Drosophila melanogaster: one gene and its partners. The protein of the gene in region 4 interacts with the protein of the main gene of each other region in a pairwise test. Each region holds a gene or a part of one and is shown on either strand. Other genes may lie near its edges.

Evidence for each region.
Region 1: the proteins of asl (region 4) and Cep97 interact in a two-hybrid assay, tested with the Drosophila melanogaster proteins (2 studies listed by BioGRID).
Region 2: the proteins of asl (region 4) and Cp110 interact in a two-hybrid assay, tested with the Drosophila melanogaster proteins (2 studies listed by BioGRID).
Region 3: the proteins of asl (region 4) and Sas-4 interact in a two-hybrid assay, tested with the Drosophila melanogaster proteins (3 studies listed by BioGRID).

What each region holds. Positions count from the first base shown.
Region 1 is NT_033779.5:3,866,150-3,871,942, reverse strand, and holds Cep97 (centrosomal protein 97kDa), read right to left. Parts: upstream 4,247-5,793; 5' UTR 3,962-4,246; coding exon 3,955-3,961; intron 3,564-3,954; coding exon 3,403-3,563; intron 3,340-3,402; coding exon 2,882-3,339; intron 2,826-2,881; coding exon 2,467-2,825; intron 2,401-2,466; coding exon 2,140-2,400; intron 2,071-2,139; coding exon 1,894-2,070; intron 1,854-1,893; exon of another isoform or gene 1,819-1,853; coding exon 1,389-1,818; intron 1,322-1,388; coding exon 754-1,321; 3' UTR 518-753; downstream 1-517. Other genes in the region: CG31957 (uncharacterized protein), read left to right, coding at 74-390; TTLL4B (tubulin tyrosine ligase-like 4B), read right to left, coding at 4,719-4,874, 4,957-5,793.
Region 2 is NC_004354.4:22,480,778-22,487,976, forward strand, and holds Cp110 (centriolar coiled coil protein 110kDa), read left to right. Parts: upstream 1-1,617; 5' UTR 1,618-1,763; exon of another isoform or gene 1,764-1,887; 5' UTR 1,888-1,959; coding exon 1,960-1,973; intron 1,974-2,061; coding exon of another isoform or gene 2,062-2,064; coding exon 2,065-2,245; intron 2,246-2,309; coding exon 2,310-3,749; intron 3,750-4,459; coding exon of another isoform or gene 4,460-4,474; exon of another isoform or gene 4,475-4,624; coding exon 4,625-4,858; exon of another isoform or gene 4,859-4,969; intron 4,970-5,165; coding exon 5,166-5,297; 3' UTR 5,298-5,307; exon of another isoform or gene 5,308-5,343; intron 5,344-6,280; 3' UTR 6,281-6,681; downstream 6,682-7,199. Other genes in the region: l(1)G0196 (lethal (1) G0196), read left to right, coding at 6,890-7,012.
Region 3 is NT_033777.3:7,149,450-7,154,758, reverse strand, and holds Sas-4 (spindle assembly abnormal 4), read right to left. Parts: upstream 3,393-5,309; 5' UTR 3,352-3,392; coding exon 1,507-3,351; intron 1,456-1,506; coding exon 595-1,455; 3' UTR 540-594; downstream 1-539. Other genes in the region: MAGE, read left to right, coding at 1-393; gfzf (GST-containing FLYWCH zinc-finger protein), read left to right, coding at 4,129-4,593, 5,127-5,309; CG2656 (uncharacterized protein), read right to left, coding at 3,561-3,708.
Region 4 is NT_033777.3:5,602,736-5,608,502, forward strand, and holds asl (asterless), read right to left. Parts: upstream 3,809-5,767; 5' UTR 3,712-3,808; coding exon 3,595-3,711; intron 3,539-3,594; coding exon 1,706-3,538; intron 1,641-1,705; coding exon 606-1,640; 3' UTR 501-605; downstream 1-500. Other genes in the region: SecS (Sec synthetase), read left to right, coding at 1-195, 255-430; Rga (regena), read right to left, coding at 4,638-4,857, 4,949-5,113, 5,218-5,422, 5,715-5,767.

The DNA of each region.
Region 1 (5,793 bases), on a different chromosome or scaffold from region 4:
GTTGAGATAGCCCATCCCAACTCATTTCATGTTGATACTTAATAATGAATTTGTATCCTTCTGACCCTTTTAGTTTCGATGCCCAACAAATTCCGCAAGAGCATGTGGGTGAAACGTGGCGACTTTCTGCTGGTCGAACCGATTGAGGAGGGCGATAAAGTCAAAGCCGAGATTTGCAAAATACTCACACCCGAACATATAAAGGAATACACAAAAGCTGCAATTTGGCCGGATAAATTCACAAAGAAACCTGTACAGGAGGAAGCCACCAGCCAAAACAAAGACGACTCCGATTTCGAGGATGATCTCCTGCCCAATACAAATCGGCCTGTAAATCGCGATTCCTCCGACGAAGAGGAAGATGAGGAAACATCCAGCGAAGAGGACTGAACGATGTACAAACACACACATAGTTAGGTTATTTACAAATTTGTCAAACTTAATTAAAAAAAAACTGTTGGTTAATGCTGGTGTTGTTTTTGAACAAAATCTGCCCGCAATCAAGAACACCTTTTGTGCTTTACAAAAATTTGTATTTACGATTTGTTCATACTATTGTTAAGTCTTCCACCATCGCTGCATCTCAGGAATGTAACAAAGTAATGTGTTTGTGAATGCTGGTGCTACTTCTAAGTTCTCGTAACCGATCTAATATTGTTGCAAAAGCTACACAAAAGCCTAAGAAAGGAATTAATAAGCGCTGAGATCGACCCTTAAAGCGTTTATACTCCTCATTTATTAACTGGGATTTGTTCATGGATCTTTATCAAGATTTTCCGAGTCTTCTTGGGTCTCCTTCAGGTCGACATCATTCAATTCATCGATTTTGGGACAAGCCAGAGCAGCTTCGTGCTTGGATTCTAGGGCCAAGGTTGAGGGCCTTGTTTTGGTGAATGGAAAATTGGTGAGGTCCTCTATTTGCGGCGTGTGTACGGCAATGAGGTCCGTCTGAGTGGAGCTGCAATCAATGATCTCGGCCTGCTTCTTAATAGCGTCCTGCGGCAGATTGCACACCATTGTGAGGCAGTTGACGATGGTTCCAATCGAGCTTTGCAGCATTTGAACCTGATCGGTGAGCATGGTGCATCTTTTCGCCAAATCATTTACCACGGCGGCTGAATTTTGATCGAGACTCAGGTGGCCAGACCCTCCGCCATTGGAGTCCTCGCCCTGTTCCGCAGCAGCAGGTATTCCCTTGGGATCCACCTCCATGGTGGACACCTTTTTCCACAGCGCATTGATGGCCTGCATCTGCAGCTGCTGAATCTTTCGCTCGTTCTCGAGCTGGGCCTTCGTAAGTAGCATATCCTTGCCGAGTTGTCTGAGGAATGCGACAGATAGAGCATTAGAAAGTTGCGATATATGTTGCCTAAAACGAGACCACCTACTCGATATACTCCTGTGTGCGTCGTCGCTGCAATCGCTCGGCTATGTCCTTGTTGGTCTTCTTGCGTGTGTGATAGCCTCGCCACATCTTTTGGATGGTAACGGCCGAGGACTCTGTCACGTGCTCGATCAGCCGATCCTGGCAGTTCAGGTTGTTGTCCACCTGCTGCTTCAGCTGCTCCTGATGCATCTGCTGTTGCTTCTGAGCGGCCATCTTCCGGATTGCTCTCAGTTTCTCTATGTTGATTTGCTCGCCGTCGTCGTCGGTGCTGAAGCCACCGCTATCGGCCAAAACAGCCGATTGCTGGAGTTTCTCCGGTGCCTGCATGTTGTCCGCGCTGCACTTATTGGCCATCCTCCGTGGACTGCTCGTAGGGCTTTGGTTCCTCTTCAGTTGTGGACTTCGCACTCTTGGCAAGTTCAGTTTGTTGTCTGTAGTGTAAATGTGTATGTATGTTTTAGAAATCTGTGTCGTTTTAAAAGTCTAGAGTAACAACTACTGGCTACCTTTATTTTTGTTGATCTTGGTCTTGTGCAGCTGAGGGTTCAGTGCCGTAACCGTAACTCTTTGGGCCACAGCGGCGGGACAGACATCCGGGCTCATCAGAGTCTCCGGAACTGGGACCATTTTCGAGGCAGCCGCCAATGGACCACCAGATGGGGTTTGACTGATGAACGTTTGATCTGTGGAATTGTTGTTTACTATTAACATCATTTTCCACTCTTGCATTGAATATATTTTAATTGTCATACCATTGTAGGGATTGGGTGTTATATTCCGTGGCGTGGACTCCGTGGAATTGTATGTCTTGGTGGTCACGCTGCTGGACATTCCGCTGCCGGCCAAACTAAAGCCTTCGCCATCGTTTTTAATGTTCTCAATGAGCGAAATGCTCATTTGCAGCGAATGATTCGTAGATCCATTGTCGCTAACAATGCTATTGTTGCTGCTGTTCCCGTGATAGCTATTCACCATGGACTCCGGTGATCCCTGGCGGCCACTCAAGCGGGAGACTTTAAATCGAAGACAGAAAAATATAAGTTATATGAAAAAGCATAGATAGGGAGTTAATAACTTACATCTGGGCGACTGAATGCGACTCGTGGGCTTCTTGCGATGGGATGAGGGCGAAGTGCTGGCAGAACTATTTGCGTTATCCATGATCTCTTCCTGCAGCTGCCGCTGATGGTGTTGCGCCTTGCTGAGGATCAGCCGGAGTTTCCTATCGTTTTCATTTTCCAGCGCCTTGCCCACCAGCGGGCACACAGAACTTAGGTATTTTGCCAAGCCCTGCTGCTCGCCCACACGGAACTGGCGACCACGTCCCTGGCTATACAGCCATTCGGCCTTAAGACTCTCAATAGGATCGACCACAAAGCCATCGATGTACTTGAGGCTCATGCACCAGTTTAAAACAAAAGGTCGGTAATCAAAGCCACTGCAAGAGATGTTACATTTTAAGCGCAATCCATATGATCCATTAAGCTAACTCACTCCAAACTGTTGATCATGGTCACACAGGGATTATCCGCAATGGAAATGCTCAGCAAGTTGCTCAGATGCGACAGCGTACAGATCTCGTTGAGATCGTTGATGCTATTCTTGGCCAACGTTAGGGTTTCCAGTGAGGTGGGCAAACACTTGTCGCACTGCCTCAGATGCGTCAAGCGATTTCCGTGCAAATATAGCTCCTTGAGATTGCGCAAATAGGACATATCCGAAATGCTGCCAATGCTATTATCCGCCAGATTCAGGCACTCCAGATTGACATTCGTGTTCAGATGCTCGATGGTCTTGATGTTATTCCCCTCCAGATTCAGAACGCGCAGATGGATGCATTCCTTCAGGCCCTCGATAGAGAGTATGCCATTGAAGGACAGATTCAGTTCACGCAGGCAATGCAGCCGGCAGACGCCATACATGCGCAGCAATTGATTTCTGGCCAAGGAGAGCTGAAATATTTGAATTTCTGTTAATTAGGAACTTGTTTCTTTTCGCAGAACGTTGCAAGTCACCGTTTCAATTTTGAGATACGAGTCTATGTTGTCGATCTTCTGCAGCTCGTTCTCGTCCAGGATGAGCTGCCGTATGCTGTGCGCATCGTCCTGCTTGGGCACCTTCTTCAGCTTTTGCTTGGACAAGTTCAGGACGTGCTTCTCCTCGCCACTTTCGTCGCCTGTTTGGGTTAACAAAGCACAGTGGGTAGAAACTAAGGTTTACCACTTCATACTTATTATGCATTAAACACAATATCAGAATTATGTAAAACAAAAAGCCCAAAAAGGAAATACATAATGCAAGCTTCACTGTATACGTGTGCATGTTACAAAATTGATGACTTCATCGAGGGGTCCGCACTTTTCAAGAAGTTGGAGAGGAGGTCAGGGCGCAGGTGCGTCCTTTTTAGCCAGGACCTCGAAGCCCCCGGCCCGCTGAACATTAACCCCAACTCCCCAAAAGCAGACTGCAAATTCCCATACAGTCAGCACGCAAATCCCAATCCCCGCAAATCATATTATTAGTTACTAATATATAGTGCCCATTCTTGCATAGAACTGGCTTCTTACCACTCATTTTTCTGATTGGCAGGCCGAAATTCCAACGCTGCGGTCAATTTTTTTTTAATCAGCAGATACTTAGCGAAAAATCAATGGGCCACTCTTTTTTCCACGCAGTTTCAGATTGGCAATTTCCCAAGTGTGCAGCTCAGCTGTTCCACTTGCAGTCCTTTGGTTTCAAGCCGGGTTTATAATTCAGTCCACGCCATGATTTGCAAACTTAATTTTTATTTTAGCGCCGTGCAATACAGTGAATTTTTGTTTATTGTTATTATACTACGTCTATCGATAATTGGAGGCGTGATGTCGTTATCGGCAGCTTGAAAACTCAAGACTGCGCCGCTAGTTATCGATTGCACTTCCTTAGACTTATCGCAACTGCCAAAGCCCGCGTAGTTCAAAAAGCTTAGTACTGTGCTGAGCAATTACCCAATAAGAAAACCGATACTCTTTACAGTTTACAGTGTTCGCATAAAGAATAAATAATAAGAACTAAATTTAAATAAAATATTTATTTTCATAATTTTTTTAAACACCCCGTAGTGTTTTATATTTACTGAAATGACGTGTGATCCAATTTCTAGCTGGATGCCAAAACAGGCTATTGCCACCAAAGACGATCGAAGTTAAGTGAATTTACTGAGCGGATACAATTCCGGAGCACATCTGCACGGGATGCTGGCACAGCTGTGAGCTGGTAACGGAAACGGGAATGGAAATGGCAATGGCAATGGAAGAAGCAATGGTGATAGTGCTGATAGTTCGGTTCAATTTCAGGACTTGATCTCGATGCAGGCATCCGGAATCGGCGCCACCTCGCAGCCCTCCTGGACAACGGGCTTAAGTATGGCCAGCGTGGTGGCACCGTCCAAGACCTCATCCTTTCGCACGTGCAGCATATCGATCTCGGTAAGTGCAACATTTGGTTCCTAGATAAGAAATATGACTTGAAAATGGACTACAGAAGCGGTACGGAAGGGGAAATTCAATTGAATTGAATTGATCGTTCACCTTTTCCATGGCGGCGTCCGACACCTGTAAATGGTATTTGTCCCGGCAATAGCGCGACAGCAAGGCAATGCCCATTTCCCTATTCTTGGCGTACTTCGTCTCCCAGGCGTCCAGCAGGCGATTATAGTACCGGGCATTCTCGACATAGCGCAGATATACATGTGTGCCGGCGGTGGGGAAGATCCGTTCCAGCGGCTGACACCTGGCCAGCTCGTCCTCGGCAACGATCAGGCAACGGACATCGTCCGGCAGTAGATTGTCCAGTATGGTATCAACGTACTCCTCCCGGAATTCGATGCTCCGATTGGTGTACTGGTTATGTTTGCGGACCTCCTCTGCAGTCAGGCAGGTGGTGAAGATGCGTTTGTCATGGCACAACGGACCGGTCAGATTAAGCTCCTCCAGGATGTCCGCCTGCTGACGTTCGTTCAGCTTAGGCGGCACCTGATATAGAGCCGTATTCAGCACGGCCTGAATGAGCGGACCCTTCACGTGCAGATCCAGTGGCAATTCCGAATGCAACGACGGCGATATATTTATCTCCAACAGCCAGGGCACTAGATTCTCATCCAGGAGCACATCGAAGCCAAACAACTCGAAGCAATTGTAGCGAAAGTTCACATTCTGGCGGTACATGCGATTCAATCCCGATTCCCCGCTCACGATGCCCTTGATGACCAGATTCCGTAGCGTGGCCCACAGGCGCTTAGTGTTCACGCCACGATTCTCCAGGCAGGACCACAGCGATTGAAGCGTCCACTTGTGGCCCTGGCAGGCATTGAAATCCTCGTTCTTCGCATAGTTCTGCGAGAACTTGTTGATGCTGTAGTTGGTCAG
Region 2 (7,199 bases), on a different chromosome or scaffold from region 4:
AGGTTCTGGGTCAGCTGTGCGCATGGGCAGAGTAACTGTTTTCGGTTTGCTCTCTTTGCTTTCGTCCTTCCCCTCTTTTATACCATCACTATGATTGCTCTTTGTTGAAAATCCGCGACTACTGCGTAGAAAATAAAATAACAATATTTATATGTAACTGTTGCATGAGCATTATTTCGGATACATGGCAATTTACCAAAATGTTTTTGTCATGTTTTTCTGGCTTTTGAGGCCCTGTCTCACTCACACAAGCGCACTTGTTTTCACAAACGTATACCGATTAAGAACAAAAAAAAACTCCGTAGTTCAGCATGGAAAAGGTGTCATTGGAACTGCGACTTTTCCACCAGTGATTAACCATTTAATTCGAAATACTTATTTCATCAACTTATTCCCTTGTTTTTCATAATTTATTGTCGCCGCCGTTGCTGTTGTTGTTGCTGTTTGCTGCTTGGCTTACCGGCTGTGTGCGAGTGAGACAGCAATGCAGCGTGGGAGAGGACGAAAGCAAGCATGTGGAAGAGAAACAGAGAGCGAAGCGCGTGGAAAAGTTGTAATAATAATAATAAGAACGGAGCCAAACACTAACGCCCAACTGAGCAGCAACAACAGCAACTACAGCCATACAAAACGTAAAAAACACCAAGTTGTTTGGCCTTCGATGTCTTTTTCAATTGCGTCGCAGAATGAAACACAAAAAAAAAAACAATACAGAAACACCACACTCAGCGTGTGTATGCATATGTACACATATATGTGCGAAACTTTGCGCTTTTTGTTTTTGTTTTCCTTACACTTTTACCGTATTTTTATAAAGGAAAGGGGCTAGGAATAAAGTTAGGGGTAAAAATTACTTGTATTCTACTTAAAAAACAAAGCTGATACTGTTGAAAAAAAATTGCACTCCCATCTCACGCACACACACACGACTGCATCTACAATGCAACTTTAAAGAGAGAAATCTGGAGCAATATAAACCGCAAATAGTTCATATTTGAAGTACAAACTCAGTTTTGCGGACGTTCTTTGCAAAAACGGTTTTAGATCGTTTTGTAACTAGATAACACACACACATAACATATGCAAACAGAAGTTACGAACACAACATATCGACAAGCTGTAATAGAACTCGCATACTTTTCGCTATAGCTGGTGACTTTCGAAAATATTATGTTGACTCCCGAATTCCAGGCAAATTCGATCGCGCCAGAGCAACAATCAGCGCAAAAAAACACATCCAGTGAATGTGACCGCGCGCACGGCGAAGGAAAATACCATCCGGCGCAAATCAAATACCAAAATGTACCACACCAGTTTCGATAACCACCTAGTAAACTGTTGAATTCGGCCAGCTGTTTCAAATTAGTTTGTTAAGAACCAATAAAAGTTAAGTTTTCGCAGACAATGTTTCTTTAATTTTGACAAGATTTTGAAGCATACGAAATATACAATATAAGTTCCTGAACACTAATTTAATCCACCGTTTTCTTTACTATAATTCTGGAAGGACTGAAAACTTGTTCCTCTGCTAATCTGTGGAGTCCTCAAATTTTCTCTAAAAACGCTACTTCCAAAAGTCCGGTTATCGATATCTGACGTCAGGGCTGCATGGACTTCGTGTGAGTTTTGAATTGCCGTTTGAAAATAAATGTTTTCCCCAGCATTAAAGCAGCATTTCTCATTGGCTCTTGATGGTAGCTGCGATCCACGGTAGAAACATTGAATACAAAACTCTCAACGATTCGGGATATCATTTGATTGATGTAATGAACTCTTCAGAGGTTTCCTAATTTTTGGCGGGAAGTCGAGGGCTCCCTAGTGCCATCGTCATCTCTAATGGCAACTAAAACATAGCAGACATTTAATGAACTTTCACAAAACACCTAGATTCAGCTGACCTCTGAGAAGGCTTCCTGACATTTCGACGTCCCAACAAAAATTCCCAGTAGCAAAACACCAATGGATGCGACGTGGTGAGTGGGTCTTGGGATTTTATGAATCCCGGTTGCTTACGGGCTTCTAATTACTGATTTTGCTCAATCTAATGCTTCTCCAATTAAGCAGGGCAATGGAGCAGCTGCTGTCTGCAGTTGAGATGGGAGGTAGCCACAGCGAGGCCACCACACCAACGGCCACGACCACCATATCGATCTGGAGCGCCCCCTCCGAGGGCAGTGGCTCTAGTTCCATGGACCCTGTCTCCTTTCGGTTCCACTTGGACGGGCAGCCTATACTGCCACCGCTGGTGATTTAAATTCTTGGTCAGGGAGTGGCATTTACTGAGGCGTAACCATTTTACTTTGTTCCAGATGACGAGCGCCAAGAAGCGCGAGGTGCAGCTGGCCCGCCAGATGGCAGAAGCGCTGGAGAAGCGGTACCGCCTGGCCAGACACTCGGCGGGATCCGACATGGCCAGTAGGAGAAGTGTGTCACAGCTGCAGCAGACAGAAACGTTAATCTATGACAGCACACGGGGCCAGGCTCGTCCTCAGACTCTGGTCTTTGGCAAACAGTTGCCCACCATACAGGTGGATCCTCCCACGCCTCAACCATTTGTGAAATCAATAGAAAACACTTCCCCAAGGCGGCATAATCGCATTACCGATCGTATCCTGCAGTTCGAGCAGTCGGGACTGGGTAAGCTGCTGCCCAAAGTTCCAGATAAGTGTATCCTGCGCACAAGTCCTGCGGTAGCCGAAGACCAGCAGGATCAGGATACAAAGGACACAACGGCAAGGGAGCTCGGCAGTCCACTGGCAGAACCAGCTAATTTTCAGCGTTCGAGAAGTTTCACACTAGAGGAGCCCTCCCAGGTTCTCGTGGAGCACATGGAGAGGGAGGCCCTGGCTGTGAAACCCAGCCAGAGTTTGGCCAACTTCGAGAAGCAGACCATCGAGTCTCAGGCCAAGCGGGTGAACCGTAGTGCAAGGAGTATTAGCAGCAAAATTAGCCACAACAGCTACAATAGCAACAGTAGCGCCGCAACCAAGAGCACCATCGCCACTAAAACCACAACCGCCGGCAGCAGCTGTTCTAGGCGGGATCGCGAGGTGGAGCGTATAATAGAACGGGCGCTGGACGAGCATGGCGCTTTGGAAGCCAGCCGCAAGGCAGGAGTGCGCAACTATCTGCGTGGCCATCGGGAGCGAATGAATCAATTGGTCATTCACCAGGAGAAGGAACGTCGTCGCATGCAGGCCGAGTTTGATCATCAGCAGCGTCAGCTCATAGAGGAACTGTGTGCCGAAATTGATGTTTCCTCGGCCACCGAAAATCCTGACAGTCTGATATCGCAAAGCACCAGTACGGGAGACCTGCAGCGTTTTTCCCCCTCGCCTACGTTACCCTCCTTTTCAGAGGACATAGAAGACTTTCCGACGATGGAAGACAAGTGCCAAATTGCGGGGCCTTCTTCCGCTCGCAAGAGGCTGTTTAGTCCAAAACCATCAAAGGACTCGGAACCGCAGCTGCTCAGTGCCCCCAGCACACCGCGATCGTTGCCCCTCCGGAACAGCAGCTTAACCAATAGCAGACGAAGTGTCCAAGTTGTCCGGCGCCGATCGCAATCTGTGGGCGGTAGTCTAGTAAAAACAATCACCGCAGCAGACCGCGAGGTGAAGAAATCGCCAGCGAAGCCTGGAGGTGGAGCAGGACGACCGAAAAGTTCCCCGGGAAAAAATAGCTCCATTATAGCGAAAAGGGGAAGCGCCCCACCAAAAAGCGCCTCACCGACCAAGCGGCTGGGCAATGTAAGTTTTTCAAGCGAATCTGAGCGATATTTTATTTGCTTTAAGTCACAAAGGTTTTCATTTGTGCCAACCTAAGTTAGCAGCTAATTTGGTTGGACTCTTACTTTAAATCTCTGCTATTTGACCTTTCCTTTTATTTAACTAAAGCATTAACGATTTTTTATTTATGGTCCTCTATTTTTATACCCGTTACTCTTAGAGTAAAAGGGTATACTAGATTCGTTGAATAGTATGCTACAGGCAGAATGAATCGTTTCCGACCATATAAAGTATATATATTCTTGATCAGGATCTATAGCCGAGTCGGTCCGGCCATATCCGTCTGTTCGTATGAACGTCAAAATCTCAGGAACTATAAAAGCTTGAATATATGTTGGATATTTTTCACAATTTTATTAGACATGTACATTTCTATTGACATTTTTAATTAATTTTTAAATTTTTTCTCATTTTATTCCCAATTTTGTATCGATATCCCAGAAAAATTATGATGAAATTTCTAGTTTGCATATCCACTAGCTGAGTAACGGGTATCTGATAGCATTCTTTTTTGCTTTATATTGATATTGATATTGATATTCTTAGCATAATCACTTAATATAATAATTAGGTATTTTATCCCTAAAAAAGTGAAAACCTTGGCGATATAATCTGTAATATCTATTTCCTGTACTCCCATTCTATTATTTCCTCTTCCCCAACACAAACAGCGCAAGAAGCCCTAGCAATTCGGGTAGTCAGTTATGCAAGTGCCTTAACAAAGACTGCGAGGAAATCGAGGGACCAAGCCTCTAGCACCAGTAGCTAACCTAATTACTAACCCAACTAGCAAGTGCCTTCGTTCCCTGTTTAATTTCGCCTCTAATCCCTGCCAGAAATATGTCGAGCTGAAACAGGAAGAGCGCCAGTGGGCGGCCACACGTATTAATGCCGGTGTGCGAGGATTTTTGGTCCGCCGGCTTTTTGCAACCGAGCAAGTGCAGCGCATTGTCCAAACCATCAGAGACACCCTGATCTTCGTGTTGAACCTGCACCTGGAAACTTGTGGACATGGCCTGGATGCAGAGGAGCCTGCAAACTTGCGCCTCAAGGCGCGATTGCTTCAACAGGTGGGTTACTTGGTTACTTGTCTAGGTGTAAAAGGTGCCAAATGTGTACATTAGGCTTGGATGATAAAACTAGAAATTAATTATTATCTGAGTGAAGGGTATGCGATAGTCAAAAAACTCGACTGCAGTGTTACCTACTGTGCTTACATTGACTTTGGTTTAACTTTGAGTAAGCAAAACCAAAACTACTGGTATTTTAGAATAATTAATGCGATTTTATATAAATATTTGATTTGAAATTGCCTTGTTTGCAAACTTAATACAAGCTGACTACTTTTTCCTTTATATTCATTGAATTAACTCATAGCTCTGCTCCGCCAGTCGTACCCTGCACCTGATCTTCTTCCAGACCAACATAAAGGACCGCATGGAGATCATCGCTCGGGATCGCCAGAGGATCAAGACCAAACTACTCCTCAAACATCGCCGATTGGATTAGGATTTCATAGGTTAGATTGCTCGAATAAAGGAGGAAACGATAAACGAAGCATTCTTGTTTTAACTAAACACATTTTTATTAAGTTTAAGTTTTCTGGTTCCACTTTCTCTCTATACATTTTTACATTTTTGTACCCTTTTTGTACTCTACGAGTAAATGGGTATACTATATTCGTTGAAAAGTATGTAACAGATAGAAGAAAGCGTTTCCCATTATAAAAAGTATATATATTCTTGATCAGGATCGCTAGACGAGTCGATCTGGCCACGTCCGTCTGTCATTACGTCCGTATGAACGTCAGGATCTCAGAAACTATACAGGCTAGAATGTTCAGATTTATCATGCAGCTTCCAGAGACATAGACGCGATTTGCCAAAAAACTCTGCCACGCCCACTCTAACGCCTAAAAACAGCCAAAAGCTGTCAAGCCCACACTTTTGAAAAATGTTTTGTTTTTTCTACGTTTTTTTGCTTGTTTTGCCCATTTCTATCGATATATAATAAAAAAAAACTCCCAAAACGGCGTTTGGCCCACAGCGCCCACAACTCGAACCATTTACATATATATTTTTTCTCATTTTATTTCCCAACTTTGCGTTGGCATATTCATTAGCTGAGTAACGGGTATCTGATAGCCGACTATAGCAATCTCTCTTGTTATTATTTAATTTGTATTATGGAATATATATATTTGAGCTGAAATGGAAGAAAATATGTATATGTTAATACTTAAATATTAAGTATATTTTTAAATATTAAATATTAAAAAAATATTAAAATAATATAAAATTTAATGGGTAGATTCGGTAGTATCCTTAACTACATACACAAATTAATTCTTACGATTAATAAGCAATTCTAACAAACAAATATACATACTAGTCGCAATATTGAACTGAAATACATTTATATACTTATTTTTGGTTATATCTCTCTATTATCTTTTTAATACCTTTTAATACCTTTTCTTTCTTGATTTACAGAACAGCTGTTTGGCAAAAGCCCGCGTGATTTTTTGCAGCCAAGCTTTCAAGACATTGCGGAGCTTTCTAGACAAATTCGCCCTGAAAGCTGCGGCGGATTGCCAAAACAAACGGAACTTTTAAAGCGAGTAGTCGTGTGTGCGTGTGATGGCCTTAAAAGAAAACAGCAAAGGCAGACAAATAATCAAAAGCGAGAGAAAACTAGTTTAATAACAATTAATTATTAGTGAGCACGTAACCCACAGCAATTGGCCGACCTCCCGCTCATCCTGTTATTCACCCAGCTGCCCGCGTGCCTTGCCCACCCAATTCCATAATTCCGCCGGCGGCGAATTTAGAACGACACACCAAATTGAAAAAATAATAATACAAATAATAAAACCACACCAATAACAGATTTCGTAACTCGTAAATCGAAGGACAGTGAGAGAAAAAATCGTTAACAAAAATATAAGCGCACACTTATATTTTTAACACGCGGCAAAGTTGCGTGCGTGGGGGTGAGAGTGAAAAATGTAAAAACAGAATACGAAAAACGTTTCCCAGTGTTGTTGTTTGCTCCTTGTTTTGTTTGGATAACTCGCACTAACACCAACACAAAGGATTACCATGTCCTACACCGAGTTGGAATCAGGGTACCAGGATATATCCCAGCAGCATCAGCAGCAAAATCCGCATCAAAGTCAGCCGCAGCAGCGGGTCGGTTTCTACTTGGGATTACAGGATGGCAACGTATGCGCTCCACCGTTTTACCACTAAAATCTAGCGTAACCCACTAAAACACATAATTTTTTTTATTTGCATACTATATGTGCTATACATGCACGTATTTATTTTTAAAACAAGTCAAATCGATTTTTATTTAATTTTAAATAGTGTTTTATAAGAATGTGAAATATAAAATTATGAGCATTGAAAA
Region 3 (5,309 bases), 1.5 Mb from region 4:
CACGAGCTGACGCCGGCTCAACGGCCGCAGTTCACGCTGCTGTATATTATTCTCATGTACATCTTCCTGCGCGGCAACCGCATCGAGGACTCGAAACTGTACGTTATGCTGGAGATGCTCAACATCTATCCAGACGAAGAACATGGCTACTTCGGCCCCAATCTGCGCAAACAGATCGAGGAGACGTTTGTGAAGCAACAATATCTGAAGCGGGAACGCTCACAGCTAAGTGCTTACGATGATTCCAAGACTTTCTTCCTTTGGGGACCACGTGCCAAGGCGGAGTTCACATTCGAGCAAATGGTGCAATTCGCCTCCAAGCTGCTCAATCAGCATCCCAAGGTCTTCGGCCATCACCTCTCCATGGCCCAAGAAGGAGTAAACGCGGAGTAGAATACCATTCTATGAATAATTTACTACATTTGATCTAACAAATTGAAAACCAAACAATATATATAATAATCTAAAATAGAGCCAATTTCCCATTTATCAGCAAGAAAAGAATATTACGATGATCTTTTAAAAATAGCACGTCTTTTCTATTTATCTAAAACTTAAGTTAATTTACTTAACAACGGAAGCAGAGACCCGACTCTAATACTTGGCATAGTCTGTGTCCATTATGAGCTTGCCATCCTTGTCCTTCAAACGAACGCGGCCGTTGGAGTAGCGCGTCTCTTGGCTGCCATCCGGATACACTAGCTTCACAGTGCCGTCCGGATACTCCCTTCGCTTGTTTAGTTTGGTGTGAATCTCCTTTTGGCCATTGGGCAGATTGAGAATCTTGTCACCATTCCGGAGCTGCACTAGATGGGTTCCATCCGCATAACGCCACTCCTCCAGTTTCTCCGTATCGCTGGGATCCACAATCTTAATGCTGTTGTTGGGAAAGTGAATCTCAACAGTGCCATCCTTGCGGCGATGTTCCGTCTGCCCGTTGGGAAACTCGAGTATTTCCAAGCCATCTAGGTAGGAGGTGTGCCAAGTGTTGGTCTCAGCGTAGTAATACTTCACTGTGCCTTCCCTGATGTTAGTTTCCTTGATATCCTTGTTGAAATAGAGCATGCGCAAGTTCATGCCATCGGCGCTTATCTTTTTTAGATTGCCGTTTGGGTACCAAATGTCCTTGCTCCCATCCGCATTCGTAATCTCCCGCTTAAAGTCACTGCTGGAGTTGGCAGCCGGTGGGGGGGTAGCAGCTTTCGGAGCGGTCACGGGCGGCTGAACTTCCTCCGATTCCACAGAACTACTAGAGGCGTAGCTCTCATCCAGAGCGTATGGTGTTTTCTTATTCCTGCTCAGTGAGCGACTCCGACTTCTCACTTGGGCACTGCCGCTACTCTGACGACGGTTTTGCGCCTCTCGCTGCTTGGCAGGCTTACCAGCAGTGCCGTCCAGAGATTGGGTGCGCCGACCGTTCTCATCGAGGATATCGGACATTGTCGCGGAAGGTAACTAAATGAAGACATTAGTTACATTACGATATACACACAAGCATGCACTTACCACTTTGGGGGCAAGCCGGGCTATGTTTCGATTGATCTCCTGCAGCATCTTGCTGTTGTTTTCGCGGCCAATCTTGACCAGCTCTTGCTCTAGGCGCTTGTTCTCCTTGCGCAGCAGCTCGATCTCGTCACGGTAGTTTCGCTGCTCCTTCTCACTGGCCCGCAGTTGAGCGCGGAGTCGTGCCTGTGCCGAGACATGCGCCTGCTCCTTTTGTTTGAGCTGGAGTTGCAGTCCCTCCACTTCCTGTTTCAAGGCGGCTATCTCCTTTTTTTCCTTGCTGTTTGCATTGCTCTTTTGAAGTCGCATTTGCTGCTCGAACTTGCGTCGTTCCTCCTCAATCTTCATGCGCTCGTCGTGCAGATAAATTTCAGCTTGAATCTTTTCGTCATGGACGCGTTCCATGGCCTCCATGTGATCCTGTGTGCACTTTGCCTTCTCCAATTCGTGTTGCTGCCTCAGGCGAAGGAGTTGGGCATTCTGCTCCTTGAAGGTGGCTATCTCTGTCTCCAGCTCTTCGAGGCGAGTGCGAACGAGATTGGCTTTCTCCTGAAGATCTTTGGTTATGGGTTCGTCTGACTCCTTGCTGGGACTTGACTTCTTCTTCTGTTCCAATGCCTGGAAGAGGGCGGACTTGAACTGTTCAAAGAGCTGAATATTGGAGCCGTCGTTGAGGCTGGTGGCATCGGAGTACTCGTGCGTGTCATTGGAGTCGGAGAAACGCACTCGCACTTTAGTATTCCCCACCTGGATGGGTGTCATTGTGAGGGTCTGATCGCTGGACGGTTCGGTGTCCTCCTCGTCCCCCTCCTGCAGTTCCTGCACCAGCATCTGGTCCACCTGTGGCTGCAATCGCATCTGACGCACCTGCTGTGTGACTACAATGTGATCGGAGTCATCAGCTACTCGGCGACGCTGATCTTTGCGCGCCATAAAGGTTCGAATGCAGCTGGAGTTCATATCAATGTTTCCCTCAGTGGCCTTCTGCTCGAGCAGCTCGAATATGCTTACATTGCTGTCATCTTCCACTCGGATTTGAGCAGAGCGTCTTTGGATTTGCGCTGGCTTTATACTCTGTGTGTCCAGCACCTTGGCCCAGCAAACTCCTGTCATGGGACTAGCTTCCGAGGAGGCTTCATCATCGGCATGAGTGGTTTGTCCCGCCCTGCTCTTCTGCTCTACAAAACGAACTCTGGGCGAGGTGCTCGAGGCGGTTGTGGAGGACGCATAGGAAGACTTTAGATCTGGAGTGGAACTGCAGGCGTTCTTGCCGATAAGCATCTGCTGAAAGCGCTGCTCGTTGAGATCGTCGAGCTGTGCTGAGGGTTTGGGAGCTGGTGGAGGCGCAGGATTGGGAGGTGACTTGACTTGCTTCTTGAGAATACCCTTTTTCATTTGAGGCGTGCGGAACTGAGGGTGGGCATTAGCGAACTTGTATCGCGGCAGGTTTTCCAGGCGCAGCTGGTCGGGATTGATCTTGAACCGCTGCTTTAGACCTTCGCCGCGACGCAGAAAAGGGCGTTTAGGCTTGGCCGGCTGGGGATCAGCCATTGAAATCTCTGGCTCGTGCTCGTCCGGATCCGCCGCGAGTCGCGGCATTTGTATAGAGTGCTCCTCGTCCCACTCCTCCAGCACACTGTTTTCATGGCTTTCCGTTTCCTGGTGTAGCAGTCCCAGCATTTTGTACATATTACGTTGCTCCAAGCCGAGCAAAACGCGGTGATTGGACTGCCGCTCCTGCAGCAGCCGCTTCTGCTCGTCCTGCCAACGACTAAGCGCCGCGAGACGCTGTGCGATGGCCTCCTGGCTCAGAGGCATTCCAACAGGACTTTCGCCAGCCTCCTGCATGCTTTTATATTCGTTCTTAGAATCGCAGTTTTGTTTAGACGCCGTACGCGTAGGGGAATTTAAAATTACGGCAGCAGTTGTCCAACACTGTACCAGTGGCAACTCTGCGGTCAGGGATGGTGCTAGACATGCATTTTGATTAGATTTAATTTTTTATTAAAAATAAAATATTGTACATTTTCTTAAGCAATATGAAAAATTGATTTTTTTCAATCCTGATCCCCTTCCTCCGGTTCATCAAAGTCCTTAACGTTCACGTCTGCATCCTCGCCGTACTGCAAGATACTGTCAATTTGTAGCAGAAGATCGCCCACGCTCTCCTCGTCCTGGGAATCCAACGGGAAAAATCTCACCAAACTGTAAGTGAATAATAAACATCAATATTTACAATTTTTGAACGTCACAAAAATAACCGATTTTGATAAGTGGCAACGCCACCGCATAGCTCGCAGCCCTCGTATCCCACACAAAAGCATTTTTCGACGCGTCGCAAAAGAAAATGTGCTTGTGCAATTAAAATCGAGTGATAAAAACCAAATATAAACCCTTTTAGTGCATCAAACTGCAATAAATCAGTGCGTTTGGGTAAATGGCCGGCGTTTGCAAAAAGGCGCGCAAATAGTGAGCTGACGAAATACCACCAAAAATCCCAACCAACAAATCCCAGGCAGCCAGCCACTAAAAAAATCGCCTAATTTACGATACAAAACACTTTTCGAGGGCAAATCGAAAAACGCTGAATTCCGGGCTCGGGCCAAACAGCGCACCAATTCAAAAATGGAGACGCCCGTCGAGGAGCACGGCATGGACCTGACCAAGGTGTCCGTGGTGCGCTCCGCCAAGGGCGTGGATATGCTCTGCGTGGACGACTATCTGTACCACTTCGATCGCATCGGGCGGAATAACACCTACCGATGGCTGTGCAACAGGCGCAAGGACAAGTCCACTCCCTGCAAGTCCCGCATCTGCACCATGCTGCCCGATCCGCTGGACAAGACGCGCCACGTCGTCGTGGACGTCGTTCTGGCCCACATCCACCCGCGCTGCAGCGATCACGAGGTCAACAAGGTGGCCCAGCGCAAGCGGCTCTCCGTAATGATGATGAACGACGCTTACAGCACCACCCAGCCGAAGAGAGCACGCCTGTACGAGCGCGCCAACGCCGGCATGAATCCGCCGGAGTTCATCTACGGAAGCATCGACACCTCCACCGTGGAGGCCTCGTTCCAGTTGGACTTTGAGGTACGGCCCCAGGCCAACTGTACCTGGCTCATGCCCCTGAATACTCAACTCAACCATTTATTTAGAATCTAGCTGGGTCTCTTTTTCAGAAAGAACATTGATATTAATATTGATTCATATTTCGGTAACCACCGCTACTTTGAACATTTGATAATGTAAAAAAAAGGTTAATTTGCTCACCTTAGTAATGAGATGGTTTCCCGCCAATTTGTTTTTTATATTTATTTTCCTATTTGCAAATCCACCGGCTAGGCCGTTAAAAGGACAATAAATACCAAAGCTTAATCATTTATGATTCAAAAAATACTATATATCTCCAAACGAAACTAAATATTAGGGATTTTTGAAAAAAATGGGACCCAATCATTTTATAACATGCACCCTACTGAAGGGAATATCCAAGGGAATGAAATACTTTTGAACTTACACTTAACTTAATTTTACACCTAAATAGATTTCCCATGATGTACCATTTTTAATTCATATACAATTTTACAGCACAAAAATGACTAACACGAACTCTAATTCCGCAGGACAAGGATCGTGTGTACATGCTACGGCGCCGCGACGGCCGCGTGATGGTCTGCATCGACGGGCATCTGTACTACCTGGCCGGGAAATCCTACAAGGGCGACATATTCCGATGGACCTGTGTGCGCAAGCGTGACATTGAGTGCACGGCCAGGATCTGCACGGAGGCGACTTTGGCGGGGGCA
Region 4 (5,767 bases):
CAGAGCCACGCGGAGAGATTGTTATAGACAGCAGGTTTAACTCCATATCCTTGGCCATAACATTGGCCACTTTGGCTGGGGATCAGATGAAGAGCATCACCAAGCTTGGCTCCATGCTACACATGCGTGGAGTTTCCGGAGCAAGAGTGATAGTTCCTGGCCAAAATAAAACTATAGACGGGCATGAGTTTCTAGGCAAGTAATATTCACTATCGTCTTTGTTTTCCGACTAAAATTTAGAATATTTCGCTTAGATTTCGGCTCCCACCGCAGCAACCTGCAAGTTCCGTACCTGACTGTAGCGGCAGGAATTGGAATAACCCGAGAGGAGATTGACAAATTCTTCGACATTTTCAACAAGTGCTGGAACCAGATTTTTCAAACTAAAAATGAAAAAATTATGAGCCTACTAGAAACAACAATCAAATAAAAAACCTATTTTTTAATATTAATGATAAACTTTCACTTTTTTAGCTGATTTTTATAAGCACAATTTTGTTAGGAATGTACAGCGACTTTTATTTGTTTAGACAATTTGGCAGTGCATGCAGTAACGATATCCCACTAAAGAGACCTACATATACATATATATATTTTCCTAAGTCTTAGCTGTGACCATTGCCTTTGGGCTTTCTATTTGAGTTGGTGATTGGGTCGCTGCTGCTATTGCTGGGCACGTTCTCTTTGTCGCGGTGCTTCTCCCGACTCCGCCGCTCCAGGTGCTGGTTCATGGTCGCCTCGATCTTGGCGAGTGATAGCTCGTACTCGTGCTTAATGCGCTCATACTCGCGTTTCATGTGCGCCTCCTTGTCCTCGGCATACAACTTGTAATTGTGGGCGGTACGCTTGGCACTTTGATATCGCTGCTGTGCGGATCGCATCGCCTCTTCGTGGGTGGAACGCAAGCTTTCCAGCTGCTGGCGCCAGTGGTGTTCCACCTGGTCGACTGACTGGCGCTGTTTCTCCCACTGAGCCATCACAGCCTTCATAGATTGCCTTTCGGAGTCGATGCTGGCGTGCTGCTCCTCCACTTCTCGGAGCAGTTCGGCAATTCGCTGGTTCTTCGCTTGCAGCTCCTGGCGGCACTTCTGCAGCATTTCCTTTTGCTTTTCTTCCCTGCCGGCCAGAATTTCATCGATATTCTCGCGTTCTGCCAGGATAGTTTGCTTTAGAAGATCCACCTCCGTTTGCCGCTGTTGCAGCTCTGCACACACCGTTTGGTATTCCCTTTGGAGGCACTGGCTCCTCTCCTCAGATTTTTGCAGCCGGTTAGTAAACCTCTTGAGTTCTGCTGCAAAAAGTTTGGCCATCTCATCACGAACACGTTGTTCGATCAACCTTATCCGATTCTGGGTGAGCTCTTTGGGCGATGGATCAGACGGGGAAACTGAGTTTGATTTCGGACTGGGCGTACACTTATTCTGCTGCTTATGCTCCTCTTGCTGCCTAATGTACGCCTCGAATTGCTTGGCCCTCTCCTTAAGATCGCTAATGAGCTCGTCCTGCTTGTTTGAAAGCTCGATCTTTTCCTGCATCTCGGCTTGCAAATTTTTAGACTGCTCCAGCGCGTGTTCCAATTCTTTCAGTTCCTTGGCCTGCATTGAGTTCACATTCTGGAGTTTCAACAACTGAATTTCCGCCTAAAAACCGTGGTGATATATAAGATTATTTAGTTTACTAGCATGTCTGAAAGGTTATCGCTTACCTTGGTAATTTCTGCTATGCTTTCAATGCACTTGCTGCAGTTTTCGGAACTTTCTTTGGCCACCGCAACTGCTTCTTCGCGCTTTTCCCGCTCGCTCCTTTGGCGCAAGGCCTGCAGATCACGTTCGTGGCTGAGTTTCTCCGTTTCCAGAAGCTTTTTTAGCTCCTCTGATTTCATCTCCGCCAGCTGCAAGTTTCGCTGAACAGTGGCCAAGTTTTGGCGTTGATCCTGCAACTCCTTAAGCGTGTCCGATTCTCTCAGCTTTCTCAATTCATAGCCTAATGACTCTTTGTCTGTGGCGATGTCAGAATAGAGTTTCTTAAGCCGCTCGACCTCGCTCTGGGAATCCCTCAACAGAATCTTGTGGCGTTCCAGCTCCAAGCGCAGGTTGTCTGCAGTTTCTCGAGTTCGCAACTGCCGATTTTCCTGCGAAAGCTGATCGTAATTTCTTTGAAGGCTCTCGTTCTGCTGCTTTAGTTGCTCCAGATCTTCTTCAATCTGCTGCCGTTTTTCCCTTAGTGCATCCCTCTCGGCCACAATGGAATTCAGCTGTGAGTGCACATCTGACTCCTGCTGTGATCTGTGTTTTTGCTCTTCCAACTCCTGCTGCATTGCCTTCACTTTGTTTTCCAACCGCATTTTGCCTTCGTTTAGGGTTTCCAGCTGAACCAGGGATTGGTTCTCCTGGTCGCGCAGCACGCGCAGTTCCTGGTTGCGTTCCTCCAGGAGCTTCTCTAGGCGTCGCACTTCTTCCCGCTTGTTCTTCAGGTTGCCCAGAGCTCGATACAACTCCTGCTTAATGTGACCGACTCTGTCTAGAGGATTCAGCGGTGTGCTACCAACAAGGCGCGATCCACCCATTTGACTTAGCCGACTAGTAGGCGATTCGTCCGCCTGATGCTGTTGAATAACCGAATCTATCAGGTCAAGTTCCGTGGTGGTTTCGTTTAGGCGCTCATGGAGCGAAGCGACTGTTTGCTCCAAATAGGCAATGCGGGCTTTCAAGTCAACGATGCACTGTTGCTGCCGACGATTTTCAGCCTGCAAATCGGGTCTTGCACTTAGTTGGTTGCAGCGCATTTGGGCCTCATCCAAAGCTTGACTGAGCTCGTTAATCTTGGCAGCCTTATCTACGAGCATTGTTTCGTGACCAGACTGCAGAGCATTGTAGCGCGAGTTTATCTGATCCAACTCATTTTGCTTGCGATCAAGCTGATCCTTCATCTGACAGAGTTGCTGCTGCAAAAGATCGGACTGGGCTCGGTGCGCTTCCTCCATTTGCTTTAAACGTAGGTCGGCGTTCCGCTCCTCCCACTTCTGCTTACTGGCCTGCACCATGTCGTATTTGCTTTGGACGTCCGTAAGCAAGGTCTTGGCGGCCTCTAATTGACCAACTAATCGCGTGTTATCTTCTTCCAACTGCTTCTTTTCCGACCGCAGCTTGTCCAGATCGCTGTCCTTATTGGAGCACGTCTCTTTGGTCTCCACCAACAGCTCGTGAGTGTTCTGCTTCTCGCGAATGGCGCGGTCTAGCTCAGCCTGCATGATGGATAGGTGCTTTTGTAAGTCATCCAGTTTTTTGTGCGCAGCGTTGGCCACCTGGTTGACATTCTGCAGCTCATTATTCTTAGACTCCAGCAGGATCTGGAGGCGATGCATCTCGATCTCGTTGGCTCGCTGAGCATCGTCCTGCAGCGGTTTATGGTGCGGATGTGATGGGTAGTTGGGTAGAACTGGCGGCTGTTCCAGTTCCGACTGGTAATTCGTCGTCGAGTCGATTGTGTTCTCTTCATCGAGCAGATCGTCGAAGGCATTCACCATAATCCGTCCAAGCTTGCGTAGAATTGGAATCGGTGACATTGTTTACCAGGAATTCCCAGATCGCTTACCTCTTCCTCGCGTCGTTTCTGATCCTGCAGCGCCTCTTCCTCCTCCTGCCGGTCCAGTGTAGAATTTATGTTAAGGGCATCCGCCCCCTGAAAGAGGCTTATACCTGGCGTGTTCATATTCGGCTAAGGGGACGCCACAAGCATCAAATTCAAATAAATTCCGAGGCGCAGGCGCTATTTTCGTAGGCAACTCTAATTTTCTTCCTCTTGCTTCTGTTGACACTTTGACATTAACATAGTAACGCGTGCTGTTAAGTGCAGTAAGCGCTTCTGTAGCGAAAACATTGCGTTCACACTACATACAGTCTAGAAGGGAATTAGGTTTTTATTCTATACTTGTACATAAACTGTAATTGTTAAATTTAAAAATAAATATTTTCCCAAAAAGTTGCCGATATGTCGAAAAGATTGTGGCCCCGACAATAGACCTGCCAGGCATACACAAGCTTGAAGATGATATTGTATGTATGTATTATCATGCCAACTATGGTTCCGTCGTATCATTGATAGGGGGAGCTGTTGTGCATTGCAGAATGCAGTAGATTTGCTATTGGAATATACATACATATGTATGTCGTGTTAGTCCAGATGACAGGTATGTATTTTCAGACACGGCCAGTAATTTTTTATAGGATCACTTTATAGAAAGAATTTCTTCTACCTTTCAAATACATTTCAACGAATCGAAAAAATATAACTTGCTTTTTAATTTAATGGGAGTCCGCTCATTTCATAATATCGAACAGCTAAAAAATGTTACATTTCAAAGATATTCTAAAAATATGAATACCAACTAGACTCCAGCAGGATAAAAATAAATCGCTTTAAATTGTTAACCGGCAATTTGTACCAGAATTTGCACATACATACATATGCATATATGTATGTATATATATCCTAACACCGTTTTAGAAGAAAAACTCAAATGGATTGTTTTTAATTTTTATAATAAAACTTATTATTCAGTTAGTGTTGAGTGTCCTTGTTGCAATGCAAAAACAACAGCATACTTTCTTTTTCAATTTTTTTCATTTTTATTAATTTTATACAGACTGTCCATTCATAAACGCACTTATATTGGGACATTTATCTAATTTCTCGGGATCTATTTGGAAAACCTTGGACAAACGTTTCCAACTTTGCGCATCAAAGTAGTAGAAGGTGCCGCGCTCTTTTGTACCATTTTTTTCATATTGATCAATGCCAGGAATTCGAGTTATCCATATTTTCTCCTCCACGTGGTATCGCCACTCGCGACTATGCCTGCGATGGGAGCAGAATTTTAGTATATATGTATGTTCTATATATGTTCATACGAAGCTTAGATAATAGCTACGCAAGAGGAAGTACTCACAATTCAGCAGCTGCCATCAATTGCATCATATCGCCGATGTTCGTGTAAAAAAGGAAAAAGAGCAGGTCTTCTTGCAGCTTTTTCAGTACCGGCGCTGTTAGTTTGTCTCTTATCGCAAAGTTAATCAGATATTCGGGTGGCACGTTGAACTCAACGTCTTGTGCTCTGAAAAAAGTAAATGCAAATCCAATGTTACTAATTTGGTACACCTCTTACTCAATAGTACTCAATAAGCAATTAAATTATGTAAGTTTATTATGTAAACTGACCTGCAGGGCTGTGCTACGAAGGGGCCAGCGAAGGTTGTATGCAAGCTCTCCTGCGAGTTCAGGTTCAGGCCTAAACCCGTGAGATCCGTACCCAAGGAGAGCGTCACCAGATTGGGATCCGTTTCTGCAGCCCGAATGAACGTCAGCAGGCCAACCATGCCGAACTGGTTGTTCACCATGGTCGCTGGTATGTTTGTGACCTTCCCTATTTATGCAAAACGAACGAAAGGTAAATTTGTTACATTTTTAAATAAATAAAATATTTCATGGTACTATTATTTCTGGATAAAATGGGTCAAGGATAGTATAGCTGTTGGGCTTTTGTGATGTACACCGAAATCACCGAATTATAATATGAAACAAATAATAATAGAAACCAAGAAATCCATTGATTAAATGGTATCAATCATCCATAGAGTGTTCAATTCAAAGCTCCAAATGATCAAAAGGTCAAAAATAGCTCTCTCACATGTTGTGAGAAGTGTTCCAGCACTCACCATCTGGCGAAGTTTGCACGCCGCTCTTTACAAGTTTATCGTTGCTGGAATTA